Linked DNA regions of Macaca mulatta. The protein of the gene in region 1 purifies or fractionates together with the protein of each later gene. This does not show direct contact. Links are inferred from orthologs where the notes say so. Each region holds a gene or a part of one and is shown in the gene's direction. Other genes may lie near its edges. The genes, in order: AURKA, WDR62 and CALCOCO1.

Region 1 (3,720 bases):
CACTTCTGAGCACATGTCGGGTGTACAAATATATATATACACACACACATTTGTGTGTATATATGTATACATGTATGTGTGTATATATATATATGTGTATATATATATTTTATGGTGGCCCAGTCCTAACTTCTCAACTCCCACAGAACGTTCACTCGCCAGGTAAACAGAAGCCTAATTATCCCCAATTTGCAGGTGAGCACACGGAGACACGAGGACAAGAACCCGATCCAGGACCGGTTACATCGCAGTTGGAAAGGCTAGAACACAGACGCCCCCTCACTATATGCGCCGCGACCATCTGGATGCAGAGGCGAACTAAGGACTGGGTGGGAATGGAAGCGAGGCCCTTTGAGGAAGAGGAGGGGGTGCAGGCCAAGCCGGGCAACTTAGGAAGCACAAAGTAGAGGCGCATGCCATCTTGCTAACTCTGGACTCTTCCGGTCTCGCCCCAGTTGTTTCTGTGGTTTTCGCTAAACGCCCCAGCCGACCGCACCAGCCACTCTCCCCGTGCCCCAGTACCAGCTGGTCCGGTTCTCTCGGTATCCCGCTCTCTCCTGGAAAAATGGAGGCGCGAATCCTGCCCAATCGACCGCTCCGAGCGCACATTCACTGCGCACGCTGAAAGGGCGCCAAGCCGACCGCTGCGCTATCGATCGGTCGCACTCTCGCTTGCTTTTCTCGCCATCTTACTTACTGGCACGTTCAAAAGGTTAGTTCACCCCCTCGGACTTTATCTCCAATGCGACAAGCTTGACGTCAAGGGGCTGCTGCCTCACCGATAAATGGCCGACCCCGGAGAGTACCCTGGGGCTGGCACTGCCACGGGTCTGGCTGGCCGTTGGCTCCGCCACTTCCGGGGTCTCAAGGAGCAAGTGCGCCTGCGCGCGGTGTGCGCCTTAAACGCGACTCAAGGCGTCGGGTTTGTTGTCAACCAATCACAAGGCAGCCTCGCTCGAGTGCAGGCCAATCGGCTTTCTGGCTAGAGGGTTTAACTCCTATTTAAAAAGAAGAACCTTTGAATTCTAACGGCTGAGCTCTTGGAAGACTCGGGTCTTTGGGTCGCAGGTGGGAGCCGACGGGTGGGTAGACCGTGGGGGATATCTCAGTGGCGACGAGGGCGGCGGGGACAAGGGGCGGCCGGCCGGAGTGGCGGAGCGTCAAGTCCCCTCTCGGTTCCTCCGTCCCTGGGTGTCCTTGGCGCTACCCTGTGCCCGCCCAGTGCCTTTGCATCCGCTCTTGGGCACCGAGGCGCCCTGTAAGACACTGCTTGTTACTTATTACAGCTAGAGGTAGAAGGGGTTTGTTGAGTGGTGTTGACACGCGCGGGAGGGGTGGGTGAGCGTCAGATTGGATTTTGTTCTCGGAGATCACCTGGGTAAGAAAAGCACAGAAGGTCGCTGCTGTGTTGGAGTTCACGTTCTAGTGGGTAGGGAGTCAGACGGTAAGCGTACAGAGAACTTGCAACTGGGGTGGGTGTTATAAGGGAAAAGCAGGAGTGCGGTTTAACGGGGGCCGCTTTAGACAGAATAGCCTAGGAAGGCCCTTGTCCTGGCTGGATGAGTGGGTGAATTGATGAATGAGAACCTCCTTGCAGAGGCCTTCCCGGTCCGTACTTCTCAGACCGTAGACCTTGAAGTAGTTATATCGGGATAACTTGGAGAGCCTTGTTAAAAATATAGCTCCACCGAGAGCCCGGAAAATCAGAATCTCTGAGGGATAGGACCCAGGTGTCTAGTTATTAGCAAACTCTCCAGATGATTCTTTGATTTCATTGAGAACTAGGGATGCAGACCGGTGCATGCAAATCGTCTGGGGATGTTAAAATGCAGAATCTGTTTTCCTAGACCTGGGGTTGGGCCTCAGAGTCTCCATTTCTAAGATCCCTCCGGCTGAGGTAGACGTAGCCACTGTCGTTAACTCGTAATGTCTCTTCCTCTTCCTTAACCTTCCTTGTCCCTTGAATTAAACGTTTTTCAGCAACCTACTCAATTCGTCCTTCCCTTCATCTCTGCAGACATGCACAGGTCTGAAGGAGGAAGGAACAAACCCGTATAAACCTCCTGTGCTATTAGCCTAACAGCTTTTCTATTCACAGTGGTAGGATTTCTGGTGTGAACTGAATAGATCCTGTGAAAGTCATCTGGTTGCAGATTAGAGTCACCTGAAGGGCAGTCTTATTGGCGTTGTCTCCAGAATTCTGGATTAGAATCTTATTCCATTCTGCTTGTTACTCAATTTCCCTAGAAAGAAAAGTAGAATAAATTGGAGCAAATGCCTGTAGCTTCTGTCAGAAGAATGTTAAATAAATGTTGTTAGGCCTCTGTGATCTCATTAGACTGCTACTTGTAATTGTAAGGGAAGTAAAGCATTAGAGCATGTGTGAAATTAAATGATTACACAAGTGGGCATTTCCTTGCTGCTGTTTATTAACTTTTTAACTTACCCACTGTTTTTTCATAAGGGCTCCCGCCTGTAGTCTGGGCCTAGCTTCATCATGGAGTTATTTGCTTAATTGTAAAATGGCAATTTTAATTTTTTTTTGAGACAGGGTCTCACTCCGTTGCCCAGGCTGGAGTGTGGGGACATTTGATAAGAAACTTCAGTGAAGGCTGCGCATGGTGGCTCATGCCTGTAATCCCAGCATTTTGGGAGTCCGAGACGGGTGGATCACCTGAGGTGGGGAGTTCCAGACCAGCCCAACCAACATGGAGAAACCCCGTCTCTACTAAAAATACAAAATTAGCTGGGCGTGGTGGCATATGCCCGTAATCCCAGCTACTCCGGAGGCTGAGGCAGGAGAATTGCTTGAACCCGGGAGGTGGAGGTTGTGGGTGAGCCGAGATTGTGCCACTGCACTCCAGCCTGGGCAACAAGAGCAAAACTCCATCTCAAAAAAAAGAGAAACCTCTGTGAAATGAAAGACTGAACTACACACCTGGGGGAAAAGCCTAATAAAGGGAGCAAGAAGTGCAAATGCCTATGGCAGGGGACTTGTTTGAGGAAAGAAAGAAGCCTTGTGTGGCTGGTGCACAATCGAGAAGAAGAGATGAAGTCAGAGAGGCAGTTAGGGTCCATGTTCTGTGAGACTTCAATAGGCCTGTCTATGCAGGTTAGGAGTTTGCATTGTTTTGATTGAGTTGGGGAGCCATGGGGGTCTTCTGAACCAAGGACCAACACATCTGACTTGTTAATGAGATTGTTGGCCTCAGTGTTGAGAATGGACCATAACGGGGTAAGGTTGGAAGTCGGGAGGCCATTGGGAGGCCGTTGCAAAAAATTCAAAGGAGAATTACGGTTTGACCAGGTGGTAGTAGTAGAGGTTCTGAGCAGTGATCTTGAAGGCAGAGCCTACAGAATATGCTCGTGGATTAGATGAGGGGTTTGAGAGAGAGAGAAACCTCTTAAAGGGTTATTATGCCAAGGCTTTTGGCCTGAGCAACTGGCAGGATGGATTTGCCATCAACTGGGATGAGGATATCTAGAGACTAGATTTGGGGAGGTGAGAGTGTGGAGGGATTAGGACTTCTGTTTGGGACATGTTAAAATGGAGATGCCTCTCAGATAATCAGGTGCAGATGTTGCGTAGAAAGTAGAAAATGTAGATCAGGAGTTCAGAGGAGAGGTCTGGGCTGAAGAATGAATATTTGGGAGTCCTCAGCCTGTAGATGGTATTGAAAGCAAAGAGACTGGATGTACTTGGCTAGGGAGTAATTGGAG
Region 2 (3,648 bases), on another chromosome or scaffold:
GGGTTGGGGAGAGGCGCCTCCCTCATGGGGCTATTGAGGGAATTTCATGGGTTATCCTGTGAAGGGCTCAGGGCAGGGCCCAGAGCAGGAGCACCATCCGTGACAGCCATAGGTTGTGTTGTCCTTACATCCCAGCCATGACTGTCCCCAATACCATGTGTGGGCTGCAGAGCTTAGACCCTTGGGAGAGCTCTGGAACATACTCTCCTGGGGGGACCATTCCAAGCCTCTGTCCCCTCCTCTGTGGTGAGGAATGAGCAGGTTGCCCCACATAAGTTTCCCCATACAGCAGCTCCCTGGAGGGTCCCAGGAAGACAGACTTGGAGTGGGGACGAGCAGGGAGGCCCAGGCAGTCCAGTGGAATGAGTGCTGGCACGAGCTTTGCACTTATTCTTCCAGAAAGACATCGTAGTGGCCTCCAACAAGGTATCTTGTAGAGTCATCGCCCTCTCCTTCTCAGAGGACAGCAGCTATTTTGTCACTGTTGGGAACCGACATGTGAGGTTCTGGTTCTTGGAAGTCTCCACTGAGACAAAGGTGAGTTTCTGTCCCTGGCCCTTTAACCAGGCCCTGAGGGAGTCACCATCTGTGGCAGCATGGCCTCCTGTTTCTCCCTGGGATTTGAGGGCAGCGGTCTCGGGCCATTTGACCTCTCAGGGGCCCAGCTGCTGCTTCTGGGCCTACTCTCAGGGGGCTGATGCACAGGCCCTGCCAGGAACCCCCTGACCCTGGGACCAGCTCTCATTCTTGGACTGCTGCTTCCAGCCCCCCTGTCCAGAGTGGCAGGGTTCTAGTGTTTTCTTTCCTTCTCCTCCATTTGGAAGAGCTTCTTGGAGTTCTCCTGTTTCGTTGTGTCCTATCATCTGGTCATGCAGGACCCATCGTGGCCCTGTTGGGGGCTCAGCTGTGTGGACAGTATCTCACTATGCCCTCTGTGTCTCCAGGTGACGAGCACAGTGCCCCTTGTAGGGCGCTCAGGCATCCTGGGCGAGCTACACAACAATATCTTCTGTGGTGTGGCCTGCGGTCGGGGCCGGATGGCAGGCAGTACCTTCTGTGTGTCCTACTCGGGCCTCCTCTGCCAGTTCAATGAGAAGAGGGTGCTGGAGAAGTGGATCAACCTGAAGGTACCACCTCCCTCTCTGCCATCAGTTGGACAGGCTCTTTCTCATGATATGTGTCTGCAGGGGTGTTCATTAGTATTGACCACACAGGTTCTGCTTATGTGACTAATGGTGAATGACACCCCCTCTCTGAGCTTTAGGTTCCACATCTGTAAAATGGGAGTACTGCTGCCCTCCCCACAGAGCTGATAAAGAAGTCACGTGAGATAATATAGGCAGTGAGCACCGTGCTTGGTAACCTGAAATGGGCTCAAGGTGACAGTTTTTTTCCCATTACTATTTGATCTACTTCACATTTCTCTTCTCCTTTGAGCACTCTGGCTGGTAGAGGATTGCATTTTTAAAAACTCAGAGGTATCATTGATTTAATAACTTTTCAATCAAAAAAGACTACACAAAATGCATGAACTTTTATTTATTTTTAATTTTTTTTTTTTGAGATGGAGTCTTACTCTATTGCCCAGGCTGGAGTGCAGTGGTGTAGTCTCGGCTTACTGCAAGTTCCGCCTCCCAGGTTCAAGCGATTCTCCTGCCTCAGCCTCCCAAGTAGCTGGGATTACAGGCGCCTGCCACAACGCACAGCTAATTTTTGTATTTTTAGTAGAGACAGGGTTTTACCATGTTGACCAGGCTGGTCTCAAACTCCTGACCTTTAGTGATCCACCGGTATTGGCCTCCCACTGTGCCCTGCCATAAACTTTTAAACTAAAGCATGATCTATCGATACATTGCAGAGCTTCTTTCCTTTAGTATCTGAAAGTTTGTGTCCAAGCTATTTTCCCATCTGGAATCAGTTGCCCATTTGGCTATCAGCCAGAGCGTTGTGGTTTTCTCTCCTGTTCCTTGCTTGCCTTTGTAACTCACTCCAGAGATCACCTTTGAGGTTAATGGCGTGTGAAAGAGTTCCAAGTTTTATATTTGTCCTAGTTGGTTAAACATCATTTTCTCTTTTTCAAGCAAGTGAAAAGCTTTCAATAGATAGATGTTTAGTTCCTAAACACTAAATGACTCATAAATTAAGTCCCTCTAGATTTGGAAAAACTCCTTAAACTGCGTCTAGAGGTCTAGCACTTCCTAGTAGGATAGACAGTCCTTTCTAGATACTATAACTTTTTTCTTTTTTCTTTTTTTTTTTTTTTGAGACGGAGTCTCGCTCTGTCGCCCAGGCTGGAGGGCAGTGGCCGGATCTCAGCTCACTGCAAGCTCCGCCTCCCGGGTTCACGCCATTCTCCGGCCTCAGCCTCCCGAGTAGCTGGGACTACAGGCGCCCGCCACCTCGCCCGGCTAGTTTTTTGTATTTCTTAGTAGAGACGGAGTTTCACCGTGTTAGCCAGGATGGTCTCAATCTCCTGACCTCGTGATCCACCCGTCTCGGGCTCCCAAAGTGCTGGGATTACAGGCTTGAGCCACCGCGCCCGGCCTTATAACTTTTTTCTGTACTGCTTTGGAGTATAGTCATTATGAAGTTGTTTGTAAGCAAAAGGGAATAAAATTTAAGCCTAAAGGCCAGGCGCAGTGGGTCATGTCTGTAATCCCAGCACTTTGGGAGACCGAGGTGGGTGGATCACCTGAAGTCAGGAGTTCAAGACCAGCCTGACCAACATGGTGAAATCCCATCTCAAAATACAAAAAAATTAGCCGGATGTGGTGGCAGGTGCCTGTAATCCCAGCTACTCTGGAGGCTGAGGCAAGAGAATCGCTTGAACCCGGGAGGTGAAAGTTGCAGTGAGCCAAGATCGCACCGTTGTACTCCAGCCTGGGCAACGACCAAAAAAAAAAACTCCATCTCAAAAAAAAAAAAATTTAAGCTTAACATTCAACCCTGTTACTACAAGTGACTTACCTGAAATTGCAGTCTGCTGAACAGGTATTCTTCATACATAGCTACGTTTCTCTGTAGACGGCAGTGACATCTCTGTCTCCGTTCATGTCTCTGTCTACCTGGGGACACATGTATTTCAATAGCAGCAGTATACTATACCTTGATTTCAGAAATCTTAAAATATGCTAAAATGGGTGTCTTAGACCCAAGGAACTATAAGTCTTCTCTGGAGGCCTAAGGCTGCTCTGTCAGTCCCCATGTCCCTGGGCCAGGCCACGTGAAGCACCAAATCCACTGGGGTCCCTTTTGCCCCTACAGGTCTCCCTGTCTTCCTGCCTCTGTGTCAGCCAGGAGCTCATCTTCTGTGGCTGCACAGATGGGATAGTCCGCATCTTCCAGGCCCACAGCCTGCACTACCTCGCCAACCTGCCCAAGCCACACTACCTTGGGGTAGATGTGGCACAGGGCCTGGAGCCCAGGTACTGCCCTGCAGGGAGAGGGAACGGAACGGTCGGGGCCCACCCAGAGTCTCTCCACTGACATTCATCCATGCTTCCAGATCCATATATCTGTCCATCCCACAAATACTCATCATGACTCTCAGCCCTGGGTGTTACAAAGCAGAAAAGTCCTTGCCTTCCAAGGCAAGCTTCACAGTGAGAAGTGAGGCTGGGTAGGGGAAGAAACAGTCAGTGAGAAAAC
Region 3 (3,648 bases), on another chromosome or scaffold:
CCAACAGGGCTCAGCAGATAGAAAATCATGGGATTATTGCAGAATCAGTGACTTAGAGACAGAAGGAACATCAGAGGACGTCTAGTCCCATGTCCTACCCAAAGAAGGAAAAACCAGGGAGTAAGGAAGATGGAAAGGTAGCATTATGTGGTGAGAAAGGAAGGAGAGGGATAGGCAGAAAGGAGAGAGAAGAGTACCCTAGGAAAAGAAATGGCCTGTGGGAGGTGGAGAAGAGAAGAAACAGTATATGGAATACTGAGCAAGGGGCTGGAGCCAAGGACAGTGGATCATTTGGGGTCCTGGGTCCATTCTTCTTCCCACAGCCAGCTACCTGCCCAAACCAGGAGCTCAGCTCTACCAGTTCCGATATGTGAACCGCCAGGGCCGGGTGTGTGGGCAGAGCCCCCCTTTCCAGTTCCGAGAGCCAAGGCCCATGGATGAACTGGTGACCCTGGAGGAGGCTGATGGGGGCTCTGACATCCTGCTGGTTGTCCCCAAGGCAACTGTGTTACAGGTGAGAAAAGAGCAACAGAGTTATTCTCAGGCAAGGGAGTGGGAGACAGCATTGCAAGAGGGCCCTTCCCACCTTACCCTCCCCTCATCTGTGGCCTCAACTAAAGACCTCACTGAAAGTTAGACAAGGTCCTGCCTTCAGGAAAATCTCAGTCTAACATAGACATACATGAACATGTAAGGCAGGAAAGGAGACCACCCACAGGCCAGTGTAACTCAGGATTTCATAAGAACTTTTGCAGCCTTCCTTCTCTACGCGCTACATACTGCCTTATGCCCTAGAGGAAGATCTAAAGGGTGGAGGGAGGCTACTCGAGGGAACATTCAGAGAAAAGGGAGCACAAGACCTGCTTCCAGGACGAGTGGGGAGTGAGAGCAGATAGGCAAGGCCCCAGATCTGTACTGTCCGATACTAAAGGCTCTTAACTATATATGGCTCTTGAGCACTTCAGATGCAATTAATCCAATCTGAGATGTACTATAAGGGTAAAATATACTCCAGATTTTGAAGACTTAGTATTTTTTAAAGAGAATGTAAAAGACTTCAATAATTTTTATTTTGACTACACGTTGAAATGATACTGTTTGGGGTTTGTTTGTTTGTTTGTTTGTTTGTTTGTTTTTCTTTTTTTTTTTTTTTTTGAGACAGCCTTGCTCTGTCACCTAGGAAGATGTTTATATCTCACATAAGTGAAAGATGTGTGATGAGCTCCTACTCTCTATTGTGTTTTCACCATTATGATTCTCATTTGAGCCCTACAACAATTCAGACTAAGGGATCATGTTACAGATGAGGACATGTTTCTTAACTTAGAGAAGTTAAGAAACTTGTTCAAAATCACATAGCCAGCTGGGTGTAGTGGCATGTGCCTATAGTCCCAGCTACTGGGGAGACACTGTGGTGGAAGGATTGCTTGAGGCCAGGAGTTTGAGGTACTGTATGCTGTGGTTGCACCTATGGCTAGCCACTGTACTCCAGCCTGGGCAGCATAGTGAGACCCTGTCTTTAAAAAAATCACATAGCTAGTAAAAATTGCATTGAAGATTTGAACCCAAGTCTGTCCAACTCCAGAGCAGATAGGGTAAAATTAAGGGAGCCATCCCTTGTGTTTGTGTTCATTGACATGCCACACAAGGGATTCCTGCAATTGCTGGGTGAGGAAAGGGCCAGGCCTAGGGTGGGGAAAGGTAAGAGGGATGGGCAATTCAGAGTGCCGTGAGCTGGTGCATCTGACTGGGTGGTGGACAGGATTCGGTAGCACACCTAGCATCCCCTTCCTCACCTCTTTATAGCCCAAAGCTATATAACTTCCCAACCCCAGAATGCACCTGGAGTGTGGTAAGGATGGAACCTTAGAAGGGGTACTCCACCAGCACACTCCCCTTCTCCTTCTGCCGCCTGTAGAACCAGCTCGATGAGAGCCAGCAAGAACGGAATGACCTGATGCAGCTGAAGCTGCAGCTGGAGGGACAGGTGACAGAGCTGAGGAGCCGAGTGCAGGAGCTCGAGAGGGCTCTGGCAACTGCCAGGCAGGAACACGCGGAGCTGATGGAACAGTATAAGGTGGGAGCTGGGCCAGGTAGGGGGTAGGGTCTGGCTGCTCATCCAGCGTGCAAAATCTAAACCCACTGAAGAGAGTGAAGGAGAGATGTTAGTGGGCTTTTATGATGGTTCTGACATCAAGAAAATAGGTTTAAGGGGTAATGGTTGGGATTAAACTTGATATGACAAGAGACGTGTTCCAAACTTGTAATGAGACTCAGTTATTTGAACATAGGAATGCTGAGGTAAGGTGGAGGTGGCCACGTTGATAGGTAAAGGAATGTTCCAGCAGTTTCTTTTTCAAGGAAGGCAATGTGATAGCCAGGTGGGAGCAGTCAGACCCTGGTGTGCTCTTCCTAAGCCTTTGTTCCACTACTTGAGAGATGAATCCCAACCTCCCTTTTCTTCTGGGGGAAACTTAATTTCAGGGGATTTCCCGGTCCCATGGGGAGATCACAGAAGAGAGGGACATCCTGAGCCGGCAACAGGGAGACCATGTGGCACGCATCCTGGAGCTGGAGGATGACATTCAGACCATCAGTGAGAAAGTGCTGACGAAGGAAGTGGAGCTCGACAGGTGAGGGGAGTCCACTGACCCCGTCACTTCCTCTCCTTTCCATGACCCCCACGCTCCAGCCCCCTCTCTCAGGCGGGCAGACCTGCTGTCTGCCTCACATGCTTTCTCTTTCCCTCCTACCCTCACTCATGCTAGTCCAATTACTGGGGATACCCTTTTCTGCCGAGCTCTCTACCATCTTTCCGCACGCTATTCTGTATTCCTTTGCTTTGGAAATAATCATAGTTACCACTTATCGTGCAGCAAAAGCTGAGCAAGAGCTAGGAGTGGAGGATTTGGAAGAAGAGAATGGATGAAAGTCAGTGCAAGATAAGAGAGGATGGATTTCAGATTTGGCAGCAGGAAAGATAAGATTGGACTGTGTTCTTACTATTAAGAAACATTAGAACTGGTGATCCAGGAATGTTATGGAATCTCTCCTCTGGAAAAAAAGATACAAATCATAGACTCTTAGCATTGGGAATGTAAGATATGTATGAGGGTATGTAAGAGGTCACCCTCAGGAGGCAGCCTCTTTAACATTTGACAGCTGTCATTTTTGTATCTCTTGTATTGAGCCAAACTCTACTCTCCTATAACTTAGCATGGGGTCCCGAGACCTCTGGAGCCACATAAAATAAATTTCTTTCTGCTTCCAGAAAGTTGTTTCCTCTACCAAGTAGCATAAATATTGACCACCACCTCCCATGTCTCCCTTCAAATTTTCACCGGTTTAAATACTCTAGTTCCTTATTTCATTAAATGACATAATTATATTCCATTTAGTACTGGTAGATGGGATATTTTAAAAAACTGTTTAAGGCCGGGCGCGGTGGCTCAAGCCTGTAATCCCAGCACTTTGGGAGGCTGAGATGGGTGGATCACGAGGTCAGGAGATCGAGACCATCCTGGCTAACACGGTGAAACCCCGTCTCTACTAAAAAATACAAAAAAAAAAAAAAAAAACTAGCCAGGCGAGGTGGCGGGCGCCTGTAGTCCCAGCTACTCGGGAGGCTGAGGCAGGAGAATGGCGTAA

Evidence for each region.
Region 2: the proteins of AURKA (region 1) and WDR62 purify together in Homo sapiens (affinity purification with mass spectrometry; 3 studies listed by BioGRID and IntAct, counting the BioPlex papers as one, with this or other methods). This does not show direct contact. The link is inferred for Macaca mulatta from reciprocal best matches to the Homo sapiens genes AURKA and WDR62.
Region 3: the proteins of AURKA (region 1) and CALCOCO1 purify together in Homo sapiens (affinity purification with mass spectrometry; 3 studies listed by BioGRID and IntAct, counting the BioPlex papers as one, with this or other methods). This does not show direct contact. The link is inferred for Macaca mulatta from reciprocal best matches to the Homo sapiens genes AURKA and CALCOCO1.

What each region holds. Positions count from the first base shown.
Region 1 is NC_133415.1:109,159,197-109,162,916, reverse strand, and holds the start of AURKA (aurora kinase A), read left to right. Parts: upstream 1-853; 5' UTR 854-1,068; exon of another isoform or gene 1,069-1,444; intron 1,445-3,720. UniProt on the Homo sapiens protein: Mitotic serine/threonine kinase that contributes to the regulation of cell cycle progression.
Region 2 is NC_133424.1:47,326,022-47,329,669, forward strand, and holds part of WDR62 (WD repeat-containing protein 62), read left to right. Parts: intron 1-399; coding exon 400-537; intron 538-944; coding exon 945-1,127; intron 1,128-3,264; coding exon 3,265-3,425; intron 3,426-3,648. UniProt on the Homo sapiens protein: Required for cerebral cortical development. Plays a role in neuronal proliferation and migration.
Region 3 is NC_133416.1:60,892,639-60,896,286, reverse strand, and holds part of CALCOCO1 (calcium-binding and coiled-coil domain-containing protein 1), read left to right. Parts: intron 1-323; coding exon 324-514; intron 515-1,918; coding exon 1,919-2,077; intron 2,078-2,484; coding exon 2,485-2,633; intron 2,634-3,648. UniProt on the Homo sapiens protein: Functions as a coactivator for aryl hydrocarbon and nuclear receptors (NR). Recruited to promoters through its contact with the N-terminal basic helix-loop-helix-Per-Arnt-Sim (PAS) domain of transcription factors or coactivators, such as NCOA2.